3 linked regions of the Struthio camelus genome follow. The protein of the gene in region 2 binds, or shares a complex with, the protein of the main gene of each other region. Links are inferred from orthologs where the notes say so. Each region holds a gene or a part of one and is shown on either strand. Other genes may lie near its edges.

What was found.
Region 1: the proteins of BMPR2 (region 2) and INHBB are in contact, whole or in part, in a crystal structure (PDB 7U5O), measured with the Homo sapiens proteins. The link is inferred for Struthio camelus from reciprocal best matches to the Homo sapiens genes BMPR2 and INHBB. Residues at the interface, in NP_001195.2 of Homo sapiens: Tyr40, Tyr67, Leu69, Val80, Lys81, Trp85, Ser86, His87, Ile88, Gly89, Asp90, Gln92, Ile108, Gln109, Tyr113, Phe115; in NP_002184.2 of Homo sapiens: Phe309, Asn318, Asp319, Ile322, Ala323, Pro324, Gly326, Tyr327, Tyr328, Thr379, Met380, Ser381, Met382, Leu383, Phe385, Asp386, Asn390, Ile391, Val392, Lys393, Asp395, Ile400.
Region 3: the proteins of BMPR2 (region 2) and BMP10 are in contact, whole or in part, in a crystal structure (PDB 7PPA), measured with the Homo sapiens proteins. The link is inferred for Struthio camelus from reciprocal best matches to the Homo sapiens genes BMPR2 and BMP10. Residues at the interface, in NP_001195.2 of Homo sapiens: Asp38, Ser64, Tyr67, Leu69, Lys81, Cys84, Trp85, Ser86, Ile88, Gly89, Asp90, Pro91, Gln92, Glu93, Thr103, Thr104, Pro105, Pro106, Ile108, Tyr113, Phe115; in NP_055297.1 of Homo sapiens: Tyr329, Lys333, Asp338, Ser339, Trp340, Ile342, Ala343, Pro344, Pro345, Gly346, Tyr347, Glu348, Glu395, Pro396, Ile397, Ser398, Ile399, Leu400, Leu402, Val407, Tyr409, Phe411, Ala417.

What each region holds. Positions count from the first base shown.
Region 1 is NC_090947.1:32,194,661-32,201,779, reverse strand, and holds the start of INHBB (inhibin beta B chain), read right to left. Parts: upstream 3,094-7,119; coding exon 2,685-3,093; intron 1-2,684. UniProt on the Homo sapiens protein: Inhibins and activins inhibit and activate, respectively, the secretion of follitropin by the pituitary gland.
Region 2 is NC_090947.1:9,922,741-9,929,986, forward strand, and holds the start of BMPR2 (bone morphogenetic protein receptor type-2), read right to left. Parts: upstream 3,038-7,246; 5' UTR 2,432-3,037; coding exon 2,356-2,431; intron 1-2,355. UniProt on the Homo sapiens protein: On ligand binding, forms a receptor complex consisting of two type II and two type I transmembrane serine/threonine kinases.
Region 3 is NC_090968.1:2,685,046-2,692,151, forward strand, and holds the start of BMP10 (bone morphogenetic protein 10), read right to left. Parts: upstream 3,105-7,106; 5' UTR 2,954-3,104; coding exon 2,620-2,953; intron 1-2,619. UniProt on the Homo sapiens protein: Required for maintaining the proliferative activity of embryonic cardiomyocytes by preventing premature activation of the negative cell cycle regulator CDKN1C/p57KIP and maintaining the required expression levels of cardiogenic factors such as MEF2C and NKX2-5.

The sequences.
Region 1 (7,119 bases), about 22 Mb from region 2:
GGAGAGATCAGCAAGATTAAGTCAAAAAGAAAATGTAGCTTTTGTGCAATTCTGGATTCAGAAACAACACTAGAACGCAGCTGATCAAAAGAGCTAAAAGACTGCACCAGCCAGAAGGCATGCACTGAATCAGATATCCAGAATTTGTAATAGAAATGAATTGAAAAGGGACTTCCCACAGTAACGTTCATAATCGGGCTACAGTTGAACGTGTCAGATCCACAGAAACCAGTAAAGGCTCTCCAGAATACTAGATTTGTCCAGTTAGATAGCTTTAAAGACGTTACAACTGTACCTTGAAAAGACCAGCATTTGTACTTTCCTATCTTGTCAGTTTAAGAATAGTTTTAACTTTCAGATATCCACTGATTTTCACAGGAAAAGTCTCTTTAGTAACCACTGAAAGGTCAATGCCAAACAAGGGATTTTGTTTCAGTTTTCACATATTCTTGTCTCAGTTTAACAGAGAGGGTTCACAAGATCGAGGGGAAAAAACATTCAATAACGAACCTGCTTGTTCAACAAATTAAGCTATGCCCCGCTTAGACTGGCAGAATATCTGCTATTAATAATTTCAACCTTTGCATTTTCCCCCGTAAAAATAAACTCACACACTAGGCGATCAAATGAAGCAGTTGCTGTCATCATAATATCATTACTGACTGTTCTCAATATACTTTTCAGTAACACCAGAATTAAATGAGTGAAATTATCACAGTAAACCAAATGTCACCAAATGCCTGACATAACCCATTATTTGTAAACAAAAGAGTCTGCTGCATGAAATGTTTCAGAAATACCGGTGTCCTTGCTGGAATTTTGTACTGTAAGTCCTAACTAAATTTGGCGTAGGTGATAAATGTGCAAGCTGGCCTTTCCAATGGAGGCTGTAATTCTGGTGCTTGAATCGAACCCTCCCGATGGCTACTCAAAATTATTGCAGGAAAGGCATTTTCTCATCTGCCCTTATCCGTTTGACTTCTTTCCGTACTGAGCCAAACGCAGATTGTTCTTCTTTTTGTTTTCCTAAGAATCTTTATCATTTTTGTCAGCCTCTGAATGGGATTTTTTACGTAGTCAGTGTCCTCATTTGTTACTCTAGATGCCGTTCAAATGTGCCTCCAGGGCCCATTTGGTACCTTGTAATATTTCAGGGACAAAAATTTTCACTGTGTCTGCCTATGTTTTACATAGAGTAGATTTGGAAGTGTTACAAAGGCAAGCAATTAACTGAATACCAAATGGAACTACAAGCCTACCACAGATCTCGTAACAACGGCCTATTAAAGCATAATAAAACCAAAAATACATGCTGAGAAAACCGTCCGTACGTTAGCAAATACACAACTTCTTTATAAACTGTGATGACAGTGACAGAAAAAGAACAGTACAGTGTTGTTGCACCAATACACATTACTTGTGTTGTACGAGAACGTGTGTGCCCATAAATTTTGTATGTGAATATAACAAGCATATGTGTAATGCAACAGATCCCACAGATACTGTAAATGTATATGCTTTGGGTGGGAGGGTAGATAAAGAAGATGAGTGGGCAGTATACAGAATAGAGAGAGATTTATTTTGTGGACAAATGAGATATAGATGCCACAGGAAGATAGAGAAAGCAATGAACTGAGTGACAGACTGATGAAGGAAAGGAGAGATGGGCAGATAGACAAGAGAGAGCTAATTTGCAGAGTGATGGTGTTAACGGCCAGATGTGCAAAGTTCACAGACACAGCGGTTGCCTGCATAAACGGATGGGAAGCTGGGCTGAAGGGATCCAGTTGACACGTAACTGCAATGGCCGGATCGGACAGAGATGGCCGATACTGCGGAGGGATGGATGGCACAGTTTGTAAACGAATGGGTGGACAGAGAGGGGTAGACATGTCGTGGGCAGGAAGCTGCACGCAGTGGACAGACAGGCAAGGCCAACACTGCGAACAAAAGCTAAATAAATGGGAAATGAATGGAAAGGGAGGAAAGGCGAAGGAACGTCTCAACAGACGGACGCATGCAACGAACCAGATGAACGTGCAGGGCAGACAGACGAGGCGAGGGATGCAGGAGATGGAGTGGGACAGGCGGAGGAGGGACAGTGGGACGCACAGGGCCTGAAGGCAAGCAGCGGGTGCAGCTAGCGGGGTTGCGGGGGAGAAGGCAGGGACAAGGAGGCCAGGTGACAGCTGGAGTTGCAGGGTGCAGCTGGGCACAGGGGTGCACATGGAGAGGACGGAAAGGGGCAGGCAGGGCCAGGGCAAGGTGGTGCAGGGCAGAAGGGAGAGCGGGAGAGGTGGGGGACATGCAGACGAGCCCAGCAGCCGGGTGCCCACAGCGAGCAGGGGGACAGGCCGCGGGAACAGGCAAGGACGGGCAAGGGAACGGCCGGGGTCAGGCAGGGGGACAGGCAGAGCGCGCAGGCAGGGTTCGCAGGGGGACAGGCAGGGTCAGCGGGGCGACGGACAGGGAAAGGAAAGGAGCCGGCAAGGCGGGCAGGGGGTCGGGCAGGGTGACTGCCAGGGGTCGGGCAGGAGGATGGTCGGGGGACAGGCAGGGAGGGTGGCAGGGCAGACAGAGGACAAGCAGGAAAGGCAGGGGAAGAGGCAAGACGGGCAGGGGCACGGGCAGGGGGACAGGCGGGACACGGAGGGGACAGGCAAGAGGGGCAGGGCGGCGCCCACCTGTCTCGGCGAAGCTGATGATCTCGGAGACGGGGTCGTGGGCCGGGGGCCCGGCGCTCGCCTGCCCGTCCAGGCTGGGGATCTCCACGCGGCCGTCCTCCCGCACCTTGCCGGCGTGCAGCTTGCGCAGCGCCGTGACCATGGCCGCCTTGGGCACGGCGTGCGTGATGTTGGGCCGGTCCCGCATCTGCAGCCGGCTCAGGATGTGCCTCTTCACCGCCTCCAGGAAATCCCCGTCCACCTTGCCCGGCTCCTCGGGCCGCCGGAAGCCGCAGGAGGTGCATGTGTCCTGCGGCGAGCCGCCGGCGGGGGCCGGCGGGGTCGGGGTGGCCTCGGCGCCCAGCAGCAGCAGCAGCAGCCCGCAGGCCAGCAGCGCGGCCAGCACCCCCCGGCGAGCCGCCCCGTCCATGGCGGAGGAGCGGGGGGCCGAGCTGGGGGCCGCCGCGATGCGCCGCAGGGAGCCCGTCTGCAGGCAGCGCCGCTCCGTGCGCTCCGCGGCGCGGAGGGGGCGGTGGCAGCCAAGCCGGGGGGCCGCAACCGCTCCGCGGCGGGGGGGAGCCGGGCCGCAGGGAGGGGGCGGCCGGCCGAGCGGTGCGCGCCGCCGGGGGGGAGGCTGCCCACGCAGGCACCGAGGGCTAAGCCGGGGTGGGGGGGGGGCGGCGGGCTGGCGCGCACGGCGAGCCCGGCTCCACGGGGGAGGGGGCCGGCAGCAGGTGAGGGGGTGGCTGCGGCGGCCGGGGAGAAGGGCGGGGGCAGCGGCGGGCGAGCCGGGAGGCTGCGAGGGGAGCCGGGCAGGCAGGGAGGAGGCGCCGCCGAGCTGCCCCGGGAGCCCGGCGCCGCTTCACAGGGGCATCCCCGAGCGCCGCCGCTCCTGGTCCATCGCTCGCTTCGCCAGCGTCCGGGCGGGCCGCCGAGAGCCGCTCCTCAGTCCGGCGTCATGGAGGGGGATCGGGGAGATAAACGGAGCAGATTTATACACAATCCAATTTATAGCCGGGGAAGAGGGGGGGGGGAAGAAATGCTGCTTGTACCCCCCCGCCCACTCCGCCCCCGCAAGACAACAATCCACAGGCCGTGGGTGCAGGTCGGCTCCGCTCCTCTCCGGCTCGGTAGTTTGCCCTTAGCGCCTGCTGCTTCTCAACGTGCGATCAAAGTTGACCTGGAGCATAATTTGGGAGGAGAGGCGCGGGGAGGTGGGGGGTAGCGGAGAGGAGGTATACGGCTAGCAGATCCACGGTTGCGAGTCTTCTTCACCCCGCCAGGTTATTATTAGAGATATGCTTTATTTGAATATCAGCGCGGAGGGTGCGGAGTCCGGCGCGGATGCTGCGGCGGGGTCCCGGGCGCGGCCCCGCGCGGCCGCCGAGCGCGGAGTCGGCGCGGTCCCGGTGCTCCCAGGAGTAGCTGCACGGATCCACTCGGTCAGACCAGCTCTTCGGCTCGCTCCCTCGCTCGCTCTTTTTAAACAGTATCTCCCTTGTTGATGGTTTGGGGTATTATTATTATTATTATTATGATTATTATTAAGTGTGATTTTTGTTGTTTTTGTTGTTGTTGTTGCTGCTGCTGCTGCTCCAGTTAATCTGTCTGTCTCTCTCCCTCTCTCTTTCCGCGTCTTTTTGATCTTTCGCTCGCCTTGTGCTGGCTTGAACGCTGTGTTTTGTTTTGTTTTGTTTTTAACGCGTCTGATGTTCTCTCGGATCCGCAGTGGAAGGTCTCGGGGAAGCGGCTTGCTCCTCGCTTATCTTCCTCTGATCTCCTCCTGCTAATTTTCCCCCCCTGCAAAATCACGACATTGTGGCACTTTCTACTGAAACTTTTATACAGGAGTTAAAACCACGTGGGAACTCCAACCTATAACAGAGACGCCATGGGTTCCTCACTATTTAGGAGATTAAGTTAAGTCTTTTGCCCCCTGGGCTATTACAGTAACTTCCCGATGTGGAAATATTAACTATGCTGTTTCTTTAACTCCCCCCGTCCCCTCCCTCCCTGGCGGTTCCTCAAACACACCCACCGCGCACCGCGCCCGGCCGCGGCCCGGCACCCGGGCGGCGCGCACGGACCGCGCACGGACGGAGGCAGCCCTCGGTGCGCCCCTTTTACGCCCTTGACAGAAGAAGTCATTAGAAAGTTTACCGGCGGGTTGGCTTTGCGACGGGGTGGGTTTTTGTTTGTTTGTTTGTCTGAACGGGGCGGGTGCCGGGCATTGTGTTTTCCGTGGGGCAGGAGGGGTGCGCAGCCCGGCGGGAGGCGGGCGGTCCCGGGGGGGGGGGGCGGCTCCGCGGCGAGGCAGCCGCCGGGGCTGCGCGGAGCGGAGATAACGGGAACATCGCGCTGCCCGCGGCGGGGGAGCGCGTTTTCCTCCCGCTGCTGCGTGGGGGCCGCCCCAGCGCCGTGGGGGGGGGGGGGCGCAGGGCTGCGGTCCGCCCCCGCAGCGAGGTCAGGAGAGGTTTCCCCCGACGCCCGGCCGCCCGGGGCAGAGCCGGGGGCAGCCCGCCCGCTTCTCGCCGGACCCGGTCCGCGGGCGCTGCAGCCAGCCGCGCTGCGCGCCCCTCCGCGGCACAGCGCCCTCGCACCCCCAGCACCGCGCAGGCAGGCCGCGGCCAGGCGTCCCCCGCGCCGTCCCCTTCCGCCGGCGCGGCCCGCGGGGGCGGACGCGGCGCTCGGGGAGCCGCGGCCGCTGCGCGCTACCCCGCGGCCGCTGCGCGCCGCCGCCGGCGGGGAAGCCTGGGCAAAGGGCGCCCCCTCTGGGCCGCGCCGCGAGCGGGCGGCGGCGCCGCGCAGAGCCGCGCAGCGCCGCGCCGCGGGCGCCGGGGAAGCGGGTCGGGAGCCGCGTTGCAGTCCGCGGCCGCGGAGGCTGAGCGGGCGGAGCGCCGCGCCGGAGCCCGGCCTGCGGCAGGAGCGGACCCGGCGCCGCGGAGGCTCCGCTGCAGCCTGCGCGGCGCGGCGCGGGGGGCGAAGGGCGAGGGCGGGGGCAAAGGCTGAGGGGCGCTGCCGGGGCGGGGGGCAGCGCCCCTGCGCTGCATCGCGCCGGGCACCCGCGGCCGCGCCGCTGCTGCTGCAGCCGTTGGTGGGAGCCGGGTCGGGTTTGCCTAGGAAAGGGGAGATGCACGCCCAAATCTGCGCTCCGAATTAAGCAAAGGAGCAGCTTTGGCCTGAGCCTCCCACTGCCCAGGTGTGTGCTCAGGCAGCCGAGCCACTATTTCTGATTACGTGGGTTTTTCCAACGAACGAAAATATAATTTACAGAATGAAAACAAATCTAAAAACCTTCATCTTTTTTTCATTGCGCCGAATCCTGGTTTTCAAGGGGCAGAACCCGGACGCACACGTTTTCTGCATGACACCAAAGAAGCCCCTTAAACTTTTGCTGTGCATTTCAGTTTTTAAAAGAAGAATAAAACTTACGTATCTCTCGACTGCACACACATGTAGTGGTGAGCTCTGCTGTTACCAATGCAAGCAAGACAAGAGCATAAAGAGAGTCAGCTGGAGGATCAGATTGTTAGCGTGATTTAAGAATTTAAGGGACAAATGCTACTCCATATTATCATGTATTTTTTTTCTTGTTTTGTACTGCAAAAGCACAGACAAGCATTTAATGCTGTTGTTCCAAATCATATTACAATCCCAATCTGATTGTTTGTGTTGTTTTTAATACAAACACAATCTAATTTCATACATGGCACCGTAAATCAAAGTAAATTCTCTGTATCAGTGCAGCTACCCTGATGTGAGATCAGATTTAGATACAGTATTTCCTCCCTGCCATTAACAGGTTTTGAATGGAAAGCCTAGAATGTAAAAAAAGAAATAAGGCTAAAAATCCAATCACTCTGACATCCTGTAAGCTAATAAGAGCACGTGAATGCAACAAGCTTAGTACTTCACAGTAATTAATTTGACAGCAAAGAGCTAACAAGAAAACAACAGGCAGAGCAGTGATGACTGGTTCACAGAGGTCACTGTCAAACAAGAAATAGGTGCAAACACAGTCCTTCTCCCTTTGAAAACAACCACTTTCATTGCCCCAGTGAAAATGAAACGCCAAAGAGGCAAAAATCATGTCTTCAGTGGAGATAATGAAACTGGGAAGGTATTTCTGAGCAGGGTAGAGATTTTCTTTTTTAAATATAGTAATCTTTTTGGGGGGTGGGGGTTAGCTAAGGACTTTTTGCATATTCAAATATTGAGAGGCTTATCTTATATAGCAATTACTAACAAACAAATATGCCAATAAATGCTATTGTTGTTTAAAGTCTGTCCAACGCAATTCTGAAGGCAGCTCTCAAACAATGGACTATCTCTGGCTTTCCTCCTAGAAGAGAACTCAAGCAAACCTGAGATGCTTTCAGGCAGAAAACCCTACAGGGAAAGCAGACAGGGTTAACAGAAGGAAATGTGCCATTTGGTTTCTAATCTTGCTCAGAGA
Region 2 (7,246 bases):
TATAGCTTTGATTGCCAAGGTGAAGGAAGAACCACATCCCATCTTCATTCATGCTCCAGATTATGAGCGAAACAGTCATCAACAGCCCCACTACATGATTTTCTTTCTTCATGCACTTCAGCAGCCTTCCTTTCCTGACCATATTTTGAGTGCAGGGCTTTGGTGAGCTACCTCAAGGATGTCTCAGCGTTCTTCCTGAGACGGAAATTTACCAATCTATGCAAGTACTTTCCCTCTTTGCGTTTATCAACACTCAATTTTATATAGTGCTGAGACACAGGATCTAGTCACTAATGAGAAGTAGCAGTTAACCGAGGTTTTCAAAGCTATAAAGCCAGCATTTTCACCGTGATGTGAGTATACAGTTCATACTTCAGGGGGAGGGGTGGGGAAGAGAAGAAATAGTGTTGGCTCTTTCATGAACATAAAAGGGCAGAATTACACATTAGTGTAGCTTCCCCATGTATAGCCATTTGTTTCTGAAATGTAGTATAAACTTAAAGTTACTAATGGTTGACTGTAAGTAAAGCTCAAATCATTCATATAATTACTCTTACAGAGGATTATGACCCAGGCTTTATAACACAGATTGTTACAATTTCACAATTAAGAAATAAATCACAATGGGAAAACCGGTTTCTGTTCACAAGACAACTAAACAAGCTGGCATCATTAATACTCTTTTTACAAAACAAAACCAGAACTGAAATAATAGGAATGCTGTTGACAGGTCAGGATTGAGGTGAACGGGCAAAACCGTCCAACTGAGCTCGTACTGCACCTGCCCAGCCCTTGGCCTGGTTCAAATCGGCACTGCCTCTCCTTCAGTAGCCCTTCTCCCTCATCAGAATAAAGGAATTACCAATTCACTGAAGTTTTTCCAAACTGAAAAAAAGCCCACGCTTTTTAAAAATTATATTTAAGAGAAAAGGTTAGATACTTGGCGTTCTTGACTCATCCACACTTTAATACAAAGGCTTTCGACCTTCAAAAGTCCCTTTTTCAAAAAACGCCCCCCCCCCCAAAAAAAAAAAACTCTGAAGAAATTATCACAGACAGATAGAGCAGGTATCAGTCTAAAATATCAACAGTCAAAGGTCAGGCTGATGTAGGCAAAGTCAATCATTTCATTTTAATATCTTCCCCAAAGAGACTTCTTAAAAAAAGCAGAAGTGAGGAAATCAGGGACTGTCAGAGCAATAAAGAAACTACCTAAACATGTCTAATGGACAGGCTTTTCCAAATAATGACACCGAGTATTTTCAACACTGATAATAATTCAATTAAAACAAATCACTAGAATGTAATACAGAAACTACCATCATCTTATTAGGTCACCTTAGCAAGATATAGCAATTTTCCCATAAGGATTCATCTATGAACTAGGCACATCAGATTGCAAAAACAATGCTGACAAGAGTGGGCATTCAAAATTAGCTCCTGATTATTAAAAGATGCCAAAATCCTAAGAGTCTTCCAGAACTGCTGAAAACATATACACTGAGAAGAATCAGTCCTAGCGCCTAACAAAGCTGGTAACACTCAGAAAGCTCCTACGTGCTCATCAGTCACCATGACAGAAAACCAAAGGATGCCAGTGCAATACTGATCTCTCTTCCAATATCATGTTCAAATATCCTATGTATCTAACACTGAGCCTCCAAGCAACATCAAAAGCGGACCTAAACGCCCCCAAATAAGCATAAGGATGCTCTTAGAACACACGCCTCTAAGTCACTGTTAAAAAAGAACACTGACTTGAAGATCTTTCAGTATTCTTCAACAGCGTTTTTGTTACTATTCCGTAATCACAAATGACAATAGAAATCGCCACGTTTTTGTTTCAAACTTCTCCCCCAAGAAAAGAAATGTGTCCTAGTAAGTCTGTCATAAAACTGCAGCACATGTTTAAGGCCCCTAAAAGCAGCGATGCTGATAAAATTAAAAATGGCTGTGCCCAAAAGATCCCACAGCAAAACAGGCACAGCTCCGCTGCCGATTAAAATATATATTAAAAATCCCTGCTTTACCTTACAAAGGGCTAGGTATGCAAAACAAAAAGATTATATATTTTTTTCCAAAATTGAAGCAAGTTATCAGACAAGGGAAGCGGATCCAGACAAAACACACATCTCGAACGCAGGTCGAGCTCGTTTACACAATAAAGCAGATTTTATTTTCAAAGACGGTTAAGGTATCGGGATTGAGGAACTTTCCTCGGGCTCGGCGGCTGACATGCATGCATGCATGCACGCCGCTCCTTCAGCAGACCCAGACGGGTGCAAATGCCGGCGGACCCCACCCCCTTCCCCGTGCCAAAATGGCTAGTTCAGTACCCCCCCCCCGGCTACTTACCAGCCGCAGTGCTGAGCAGCAGGGTGGCACTGGAGAGCAGGAGCACCAGCAAAAGGTGCTGCAGTGAGGCAGTCATACCTGGGGAAGCCAAGGGCCGAGGCAGAAGGAGGAAAAATAACAGAATAAAAACGACAAGAGGAATTTCCTCTTTTTTTTTTCTCCTCTCTCTCTCTTTTTTCAAACAGCCTTGCTGAACTCTCCCGGTTTACAATCCAGTCTGGAAGGGCAAACGGCAGAGGAGAGGGGCCGCTGCTGCTCTTACTCCATTACACCAGGCTGCCTTCATGTCTCGGGAAGCGGCAACGCTTCTTCTGGGGAACGGGGGGAAAGCCCGTTTCTGCCTGCAAGCCCAAAGGCATTTCCCTTCTCCCAGGGAAGGGGCGATTCTCGCGATTCGCTCTGGGAACCGAGCTTATTTCCCACGCAGCTTCACGATATCAAAGAAACAGCCGGGTGTAGGAGCGAACATATCCAGGCGCGGGGAAACGTCTAACGACCGTCAGTTCTAGCAGCCGCCTCACGCTCGCCTCAGGACGCCGCCAGCAAGCTCCAACGGCTCGAGGCAGAGGGGCATCCCGCCCAGTTAAAGGTCTCGCTCTTCCTTCCTCCCTCCGCTCCGCGCCTGGGGAAGGAGAGACGCGCCGAGGCGCTGCGCGGCCAGGCGGGAGGCGGCCGCGCTGACGGCGAGGGCCGCGGCGGCACCGCGGCCCATCTGCGGGCTCGGCCGCGCGCCCCTGCCCCCGCGGCCGCCCCGACGGCGGCGAGGCCGCTCCTCGGCGGCTCCAGCGGCGAGCGAGGCGCGAGCTCCCTCCTCCTCCTCCCCGCGGCTCTCCGCGCTGCCACCGCCGGCGAGGGGCAGCTCCGCGCCGCCTCCTTCCTTCCCAGCCCCGGGGAGGGCGCCGCCGCCGCCGCCTCCGCTGCGCCGCGCGGCCCCCGCCGCGGCTCGCGCCCCCTCCCGCCCCAACGGCCCCAACGGCTCCCGCACCAGACACAAAGGGGAGTCGCTCCAACTGCCAGTCTCGGCGCCCGGCCCGCGGGCGCCCCGCCCCGGCCCCGCCCCCTCCCCAACGGCCGCGCCGCGCACCGCCCGGGCCCCGCCCCCGCCCCCCCCTTTCGCGCCGACCATAGAGGTAGGCCTCCGGGCAGGTAGAGAAAGGCCCCGCAGCGCCCCGCCCGCGCCTCCATGTTGTTACGCTGCGTTGCTGCTTTTTGAGGCCTGGTGCTCGCCTTCGCAGCAGAATCATTAACAGAATAATTAAAATCAAGCCTAGCACGACCTGTGCTACACCGGCCGGACGCGGCGTGGCCTGACCTTGCTAACGTCGGAGCTGAAGGTCGCGCGGCTGACAGCTACCCGCGATTTTTAAGAGCTGGTCACCCTGTTTTTACTCCTAATCCATGCAGATTTACCGTGGATATTTGGGGGGGGGGGGATGGGGGAGGATGACAGAGGGAATCCTAGATGGTAACTGGTATTGCCACTCGCCAGAATTGTAACCACATGCTAACCACCATATCCTTCCTCTTGTGTGGGGAACGTGAACTGTCAAGAAATAACCTTTAGAAACCAGCCAAACAACAGGTTTTGCCCCCGAGAGAGGACAGCACACCGACACGGGAGTATTTTCCGCGGGGCGGAAAATCCAGCGTTTAGTTTGGTGCAGACACCTAACTGTGCAACGCGCTTTCCGCCCGTGAAAGCAGCCAGATCGACTCTGTTCGTGGAAAACAAGAACGTAACCAGGCGGGTTACGCAGCACTTTCACTGTTTGGATGGTTAAAAGAAAATTACAGTAATTGTTTATGACATGTATTGAAACTGGCTCATCCTGAAGTAAAGACAAAATTCCCTCTGGTTTTAATAGCTGTAGTTTTGGACCGTTAATTAATATTGGCACTTCTTCACAAGGAATCACATAAAATAGTTTTATGCCTTAAAATACTTACTTTTCTTTTTTTCTCTCCAGAGAGCGGATTGGGTTTTTGTTGTGTTTTGTTTCTCTGTAAAGAAGAAACAAGGCTTAGGCCAATTTTAATACAGTAATTTCCTCACAGCTTCAGACAAACACAGGCCCTGACCCAGAAGATGCATGGGCCTGCAAAAGACCTCACCGCAGCTGTGGATCTGCTTCGCTTGAGCTTGAGCCCTCACCTGGGTGAGGGCCTTGGTCTGATCTCCTGGACCCACGTCCCCAGCACCTTGCAAGGCTTTTGCCTCCTTCCCTACCTAACCCTGAGGAGTTTTTGGAAGACGTTGCCCCTGCCCGGGGCCAGGTGCCTTCCTGTGCAGCGTGGGCGCCGGAGCCGTGGGGCTGCCGAAGCCCCGGTTCTCCGGCCCCAGGATGCACCAACGCCCCTTTTGCCACGCAGACGCAGGAAGCAGTTGCTGCTGTCTAAGCACAGAGGCAGCTTCCTTTTCCCACAGTGGTGGGAGGAAACCAGAGACCTAAACTGTCATTCCCAGGCTCACTTATTGCTATCTGCTTGGACAAAGGCATATTTACCATTCTTTCTTTGATATTGTTTTAACTGTATGCTAGCATTTCATTAGCCTAATGTGCAGCGATGCCAAATGAGACCGACAGAAAAATACTTAGAATAATGAAAACTTACCAAGCTGCAGCAACTTAAATATTCAGCGTTGGTCCAAACAAGGATAGGAGAGAGAAGGCCAAGAAAACCTCCTAAAACTTACCAAGATTTCAAAGGAAGATGCTCTGCTGAAGCACTGTATTTCCACCAGGAAGAACTTAGCCCCGTGAAACAACAAGATTGAACTTAATTTGAAAAGACTGTAAAAAAAAAAAATAGGGATAGGAGAACAGGCCTTACCCTTTCGCAGCTATCATCCGCGGTGCTCGCAAGCAGGCAGGACGAGGGCGCGCGTTCAAGGCAGGGCACGAGGAGGGCAGAGACGCCGGCGCCAGGCTACCGCGTTTGCGAGCTCCCTGAGATGTCAGGCTGATGTGCACCACCTCCGCTGCAGGGCACGTCTGTCTTGCCCCGGGGCGAGGGAGCTTTAAATGACACGGCCGCATCCAGTTTACTGGAGCTGCCCTTTACGCTGCTTCCATGCTCGAGTGAGACGCTGAAGTGGGAAATAAGGCGGATGTATACCTCAGATATTTCCTGCTGTCATACCGATGCACATGCAAACATATTGGTATCACTTGCAAATTCAAGATTGTACATGACAGTAATTACACGTGTCCTTGTTAGCAGTGTCTCCTTTAAACAACACTTTTTTTTTTTAATTACCCAGCATATAGAAAATCTTACTTTTGTGCTTCCAAGTGAATATTCCAATCAGTGGAAAATAAAATCAAAGCATTAAGAAAACCAAAACAACCTGCCCTATTCCTTTTTAGAAAACACAATTTTCAGGAACATTGCAAATATTTCTCGGGATAGGTTCGCTGTTATCCAAGAGTATTTCAGTGCTGACGCCATACAGCCATTATCGTTGTTAGGACTCGGGGGAGTGCTCTTTTTGACAAGGCCTTTCATGATGTCAACAAATCTCTTTAAAATAAGTTATAAATTTTACTTGGCTGCCCATCAGCCTGCCCAGGGTGTTTCTCTCAATGCTGTCATAAATGCTGGGGAGAGAGGACAACAACACTGCCCGGTGCTTTGTTTTTAAGAGATTTTTTGTTTCTTTAAAAACAAAGCATCCCCATAGCGTTGACGGTGATGCATAAACAAACCTTAAAACAATAACAATCAAGATGTTCACAGACTTTCCTACAAATAAATACTCCCATCCTGGACCCCAGGCAGTATCTTCATAAATAATGGATTTGGTGTGGGTCTCCGCTGCAAACGCCTGCCACTCATTGCTAAATTAGGAACCTGTCAGCAAGATCATCTTCCCTGATCTCACCTCCTGCAGCAGCGCATCGAGAGAGAGGGGCTTGCCGATAGCTGCCATCCCAGGCTTACATAGCTCTCCAGATTATTATTAACATCCTGAACTGCAGCCAGAACAAGCCAAAAAGACAATACTGTCTGCTCCTTGCAGTCTGCTGAGTTAGCAGCGAAAAGCTTCAGCCATTGCAGCTAAACAAGTAATCACACACAGACGCTGTTGCCATTGTAGGTATCGGGCTACCTATTTCACACAGATTTTTCCCATCGGCTTCAAATCCGGGGTGTCGCACCGAGACGCCCCCATTATTCCCCCGGGAGTGAAAGGTCACAAAAACGAGGGTGGCTATGGGAAGACCGTCATTAAAGGAGAAATAGTGAACACCCCGGGGACTTCAGGAGTGATCTGGATCCAGAAGTGCCTTTCTCTAGGGCGGACAGATTTTCCAGCGCCACCGTCACCTGGTCTGAACGGAGGGGGTTGGTTTCCATCCCCTTTCCGGGGCTCGGCTTCGCCTTGAGGAAACCGACTCCTCCAAAGAGGGACACCAAGGCGGCAAATAGCCGGGATGGGGGCATCGCAGCCCACGGGGGAAACGACCGCCCAAAACCTTGGAAAAATCCTTTGTGAGGGAAACTTTCCGGTTTTCTTCACAGGAAGGAAAAGCACCACCAGCGACAGCCCTGTCTGTCCTGCCAAGATGGGAGATAAACCCATCAAGCCTCCGGTGGCGGCAGCACGTGGCAGAGCAGGCTCTCGCTCTCGCCAGCCGACCCACAGCTTTAAGGAAACGGCAGACTGAATTCCTGCCTCGGAGGGAACTCGTTTCCCCTTTAGTCCAGTCAGATAATCTGTGCCAGACGTTACTTTTGGCCTTTGGACTCAAAAAAGCCCGTCTGAAGACTATTATGTCTTTTTTTTTTTTTTTTCTTCCCCCTTTGTCTCTGAAACACAGAAAAGAGCAGCAACTATCCAGCCTTCAAAAAAAGAAAACATTTGTGAGTACAAACTCCTAAGTGTCTT
Region 3 (7,106 bases), on a different chromosome or scaffold from region 2:
CTTAAGCAAGCACAGGAGTTGTCCTACTGACATGAAGTGGGCTTTGAGGCACCTGCCTGGGTTTTTTTCTTGTTTGCCTCACCATCCATTCATAAACAAAAAAACAAAGAGCAATTCTGGTTGCTTCTCTCTTCCCATCAACTGATGAAGGTGGGAGTTGAATATGCTCCAGGGTGGGATGGACTGCAGGCTAAAAGGCAGTGCTACTCAAGCACAGGAGTGCTTCAGCCATAACCTCGCAACGGGAAGAAACCTTTGCTATTTCCTAACTCTCAGCATGCTAAAGCAAGTCTGCAGTCATTACAGACGATAGTAGGGTGGAGAAATGCCACCGGACCATCTAGAAGATGAGCTCAAGTAATTCACCAGGAAGGAGGGGAAGGCCACACCATCTGTAAGAGGCTGGGTGAGTGCTAGCAGGGAGCGAGAAGTGTTCATTTATAAGTCAGGATGTGGCTTTGCTCTTTAGCTAGGAAACCCATAGGGTGAAATCTCTCTTACAGTTATTGGTGCACCCCTGACAGGGTCAGGAAGGGTGATCTGGAGTCTATAGGAAAAAAAAAATTACCTTAAGACCTTTATTCAAGTTTTAAGAAATGGTAGGCGATTATAGTCCCATTTGCAATAGAGATATTATGCTCCATGGGTTAAAACGACTAGCCGCTTTCAGCTGTGCAGCATGTTATATTTCTATAATCTCATTACAGTTAAAACAAAGTTAATAAAGAATTTAATGGATAATAATGAAATAAAGTTACTGCCAATTTTCAATAAGCAGCTGAATTGAAAACTTCATGATATGTTCTGTTCCTACTGTCTTGATAATTGAAAGTAATTCACTTTCTCTACAAAAAAAACTCCTCAGGCATGAAATGAATGGTTCTTAGCTTCATGGACTTTCAAGACAGATAAAAAACAGTAAGTGCAACAGTCCCTGTAACTGTATGCATTTATGAAGGCGATGTGTTAACAAGTCTCACCTTGCATCTGCTGTTTTGGATTAGAAACGAGAGGAACACAGAAACGACAGAAAGTTACACTAAGCTTACCCTATCTGGTGCAGACTTCTGCAGCAATGAAAAAGCCATGGAACATCTCCGTAATGTTTACAGAAAGGCACAGAATCGTGAATTGCTGCATGCGTTACCGGCCATAGGTCAGTCTGTACCATTTTCAGTACTGTAAACCTGGAACCATTTCAGTCTTGCCAGTGAAATGGCTGCAGATTTACCTCAGTAAACCACACCGCATTTTGTTCTTTAGCATATTGTACTTGCCAAACTTTATCTGATTTATTTCTCCGGAATAGTGGAAATATGAGAAAAGAACAGTATTTGTTTCTGCATATTTCTTCATTTATGCTGATGATCAGTTACAGACAAGGCTGTTCAGATGAGTAACAGTTCACCAGCAGGTGTAACTGGTTTGCTGTCAATCCTTCAATAAATGTAATGTCATATTACTACACCGCAGAAAAAGAATATGTAAAGAAGATTTAAACTGCAAGGCAGGGCCTCTTCAAACCAGAAACGTGTTGCTGGTAAAGGGTGCCCAGGCCTGACAGAAGTGCAGAACAGTTCAGCACTGCTGGATCCTGTCTTGGCACCTTACTGCATTGCCAAAGCAAAATGACTGGTACGCAGCCTTCTCCTGATAGTTTGTCATCTTGAATTTGTGAATGTCAGAAAAAAGTAATAATCAGCATTATAATTCATTAATTACACTGATGAGGGATGAGAGAAGATCCACAGCAGTTTGAATAGTTGCACGTACCTCCGAGTAGTTAAAAAGAATCAAAGCACTTGTATTTGCAAAGTGGAATATTTCAGGTTTGGAAATGATTACTTGAAAAATACTTTTAACATATTACCTGTATTGGTGCAAATAGGTACTGACACAAAAACATTTGAATGTCAGCACTGAAATGTTATATTTTCCTCATTAAACTGAGGGAAAATGTTGAAGCAGAAACATAGAGAGAACCACCTAAGCTCACAACTGGTCTTTTTTCAGTTCTTCTTCTTCTTCTTCTTCTTTTTTTTTTTAATAGGAAATATTCTAGTCTGCCAAAGTAAAACCTAAAGTTTATCCAAATTCAGCTTCATGTATTTCTATGTATTTGCTGGGCTATGCTCAGACATCAAAGGAAGAAAACTTTACAAACCCCATGAGGATCAATAGCGGAAGGATAGCCATATGGAAAGCCATATACTGCACCTTTGAACGGCATGTGAAAATATTTCTCCTCTTAATTTCAAATTTGACTTAAGGTATCCATCTAAAAATCAACCAGCTTCTTGCAAATGATATGTGTGATTACAAGGATAATGAAAACACACCCAAATTACGCGTAGTGCTGTACAGATATAAAAGAAACATCTTCTTCCCTCAAAACCTTACAATCTCAAAAGCAACGGAAAAAGGATCTATCTCACAAAAAGTGGGATCTGCATAAAATTTGTACATGTGGTGTTAGTTGCCTATTTCCAATGGCTTCTTCACTGAAAGGCCTTTTTCCCCCTAGTGCTGTTCATGCTCCATACCTGGTAAATATTATTTCACGCTGACTGTAAGAGTACCCTTTCCGATTTAGTTCTCCTAGAGAAGCACATTTCTTACCTTCATTTTTGAAGCTCCTAATAATATTTGCAGATGGCATAGACGTCCTATCGGTGGCAAACTTGTTGTACAGCTCTAGCATGTACTCTGGTGGGTCCACCTTGGCCGTTTCGTGCAGGGGAATGTCAGAGAGGTTCAATGTCTTCAGGAACTCATTTTTCATATTCTGAAGCAGTGTGTTGAAATCAACACCATCCTGCTCGGAGAGGACCTCGTCGAAAAGTGGCACGTCTTCCTCCAAGGAAGAGTGCTCCAAGCTCAGGATGGGACTGCAAGAGGCAAGGTGAACCAAGAGAGAGAGGAGAGCCCACAGCTGAAGAGCTACAGAATCCATGACTTCGCTCTAGCCTCCAACCACGCTCAACAGGCTTTAGCTCTCATGTGGGCTAAGTGGCGGTTTTATCCCCTGGGTTGTACGCGGCTTGTGTCACAGAGAGATGACAAGTTTGGAAGCTCTTGTCTTGAAACTTGTGATCCGTCCTGTCTCTCTCCCCCTGCCCCCTCCCTTTTTCTTCACCCTTCCCCCTCCCCAAAACCAGGTCTCGGTAATTGGATATGGCTTGCTCTCTTCTATGGTCGCCTTGCCTCTCTTATCTCGTGGAGTGTAAGCTGTTCACCAGATTCGTCGCTATCTCGCAATCCCCTTTCCCTTAATGAGCATTTTGTAAACATTCTGCGCTAGGACACTAGGAGATAGGACAAGTTTCTCCTCGGAGAGGAATTGCCCTTTCTTTCTGCCTCCTGGTAGCCGACTTTCTCTGGCACGTATGACCAACTTTTTGCCGCGCAGATTTCAAGCTAGTGCGTAAATTCTACAGAGCCTCTATCCAAACCTATGAATTCTGCACCAAGAGCAAGGAAGAGCCCCTTTAAAACAACAGAACCGCCCATTGTAAAACTATTGTAGAGCTCAATCTTTATATTTTACTTACAAAGAAACTTCATTGGGATAAAGTCCGTTCTTCTGTGCTCGTACAGCATCTAGCACACGAGAAGAGCTCCAGGCACTGCCACAATGTTGGGGTCACAAGGCCCTGAATGCAGAGGAGCAGATAAGCTCAATATATTTGGGTGAGGAGGATCTCCCACATTGCAACTATGAAACTGTGCTTTGCGAGGGCTCCACTGGAAAAAGCCTTTTGAACAGAAAGTGAGCACAAGTCAGGGAAGAGCAGAACACGGCTTTTAAAGTTTGGCTTCGATTCCTTCTGTGCAGACACCGCTCACCTGCACTGGCACCACAGAATTTAGTGGTAAAGTGCAAGTAATAAGTACTTTTTGCTGAGTTTATTTTTGCTACAGAGCCCTCTTTCCTGATCTGAACATTAACACTAGCTGTCTGAGCTGAATAGGCTCAGTGCTGTAGGCCATATAAATGCTCAGAAACAGAGGGAGGACTGCAATATTTGCAAATGGTTCCTAAAATCTTTATTTTCTTCTGTACCTTATTTATCTGATTTGGCAGGTTACACTTACTCGTCATTTAATCACAGCACCCCCCAGTCAGATTGTCTAAAAATGACTGACAATACACACAGGCCCACAGACTACTCTTCACAACTCACCTTTGCATCACTTAAAATGGCTCAGAGGTATTAGGTGGGTAATGAGGGAACGTTTTTGCAAAAAAGACATGCTAAAACTGTTTAGTAGCACTTTGCTGTTAGAACATGCAAATTTCAACAAAATGTGAGCCTCATACAAGCAAAGAATCTCTTTTCATTAGCACTGCTGAGTTTCTCTCTGCAAGCACTACAGAGCTTAACTCAAAGAGGAAACCTCCACAGATCTGCTGAGTTTTCTGGACTCTGCTTCTCCATTATGGCTAAGCACGTCCGGCCATTTGTTAGCACAACTCTATAACTTTCTGGATTTTTTTTTTTCACAAATGTTAACATACATGTCTGTGAAAATAATGAGTAGTATTAATGCCACAGAGCCAGGCATCAGCCAGTTTAAAAGCCAGCTTTTAAAACTTGTTTCATTCAACAACTCTTCTTCTGCTAAATAGGGAGAACTTGACAATAAAAGCTAAACTCATTATCAAGGTCTCTGCTATTGCTACAGTACATTGGAAGTGGTATTTGCGCTTAGAAAGACTAATTTAGATCTCAGTGTGGATTTCACAGTTACCTGTGCAAGCTTATCTATAAATCCTCTGCAGCCTTATCAAAGACTCATCCTATGACTCCTGTGGCTTTCCAGAGCTAAGCACAGAAAAACTTAGGGAAATTTTGGAGCTGAATTCAGGTCACTTTTATTCATTAACTTAGAAAAGCACAATCTTCTTTTTGTCGGTGATTCATCACCTCACTACGCTTAACTAAGGACCTTCCATAGGGAAATGAGACTAACCTTGAGAATGGGGAGAAAAGACTGCAGGGTGCGTAGCCTTAACTCTTCCGCAACACAATAACTGGCTCCTCTAAAGCAAGGTCTTTGGCCTGGCTTTGGGCAGGTAGTAGATTTGCAGTAAGAGCATAGTCCCTACAGAAATGGTTTCAAAAGGTCATTTGTATGCTTGAATATTTATTTCAGAAATGCACTGACTTCATATATAAAAGCCCATATTTTTAAAATTAAGGAGGTAAGCACCTTGTAAGAGCTACTGCCTGTTGGAAGGCAACCGGTGCTGAAACTTCTCAGCGCTTCACAGCCTTATCCTTAGCGCTTGCTTGTAGCTGTTTCTTCTTCTCAAACGGGAATAAGGGCCCGAATGCATAGGCAGCAGGCATGAAAATATGCCTTGCAGAGCTTGTAAACACTGGGATGTAGAGTACTGCATGGCTTCCTTCTGAGGGTTTTGGGTTTGCTACGAGATTTAGAGGTAAAGGTTTTGATTTTAAAGTTTTAGAGTGTTTGCTCTGAGATTTTTAGTTGAATCTCCTCTCTCACTACGAGCGCACTGGCTATTTTGAGGACTGCATCTGGCCCTTAATCACACATTGAGTCAGATTCTCCTCTTTGTTACTCTGGTGTTAAACATATAAACAATTTTAGAGTCAGAGGAGTTTTTCCAGGTTCACTCCTGTTTAACATAGATTAAAATTTAATCAGCTGCGCAACTTCAGCTTGCTGGGTGACAAAACTGAACGGCTTTACTTTAACTGCCGTGACATAAGCAGAGCTGACGCTGCCTTGGAGCAGAGGCCGGACTAGTGACCTCTCTAAGTTCTGCTAACTCCAGACGTATTTTCTACGATTCTGTAATTTCACACCCTGCAGACATAAATACATAAGTAAAAACTGCACACAGTGATCTGACATAAATTTTCTAATCCACAAATATGTCATCTTGATTCAGTGGCTCAGTAGGAACTCAATTACTGCTCAGACATTCCAGCTCTTTGCATTTCCACTCTTGTTTTGATAACTCCATGAACAATAGCATACTAAAGGGCAATGCAGCCTGCTGTGTTACATACAAACCAGCTTTTGCTGCATTTCTTAGCTTATTCAGTTTAGAGCCTGCTGGGGATTTGCCAGATGAGCAGTACCCATAGAGTATATCTGATATAAAAGCAGCTTCCTGTTTCCTTAGGTTGTAGGCTGATGAATTTAACACATGCATATTTTTTGCTGAATTAAAATGTTTTAACAGAAGGGTTTTATTTCATGTCACTGAAATGAAGAGGTTTGGCCTTTCCCTGGAAAGGAAACTGCCCTCAAGAAATCTATGCTAAACAGATTAACTGAGCCAGCTGGAGAAGGAACATTAATAATCATTACCGTTTAATTGTTATCAGATTTATAACATAAATGATGAGCCCATTTCATTAGAAATAAATGATGTATCAAGCAGGCAGAGTTGTAGAAAGGGCTCTTGGCCATCATTCCTATGAAGTTTGTGTTTATTTCTGCTGTGAATTTGCAGTTTTACACAGGAAAACGTAGCTAATGAGAATCTGAGCTTCTGCAGTGCTCCTGCAACATTCAGCACACATACAACATTGTTTAATTCCTGTTTTGCCTTTCCTGTTGAAGTCGGAAAATGTTCTTCTGGTGGAGGTGGCCTTATAGGTTGGACACTCTCCATTTGTATGTCCCAGTGAGAACTGGAGGGATAAAAAACGCCCAGAGAGCAAAGAGAGGCCCTTTCCCATCCACGGCACTGAGCAGATCAGGCAGGAACGTGAGTGCAGTTGATGCCAGCGGTAGCCGAGGGTACGAAGCAACTCCAGGGAACAGTTCAGCTGTCGAAAGGGTCAGCCCCAAAGGTTGTGCTGCTCCAAAATAGCCTCTAATCTCAGGCACCCCACAACTTCCTCTGAGCCGATGCCTTCGCGGCTTCTTCCGTCAAGAGGCAGCAGAAGAGCATGGGTTTGAGCAGGAATGTGTGAAGCAAGCCCAGTGCTGAAAGGCTAGAAAGTGAAACAGGGCTTTACGAAGTGTCAAGGTCGACAATATACAATGATTGAAAGGGTGTGACGCTCCTCTGAGTAAGAGGAAGTGGGGAAAAAGAATGTGAAGTGTTTTTTAAGCATCCT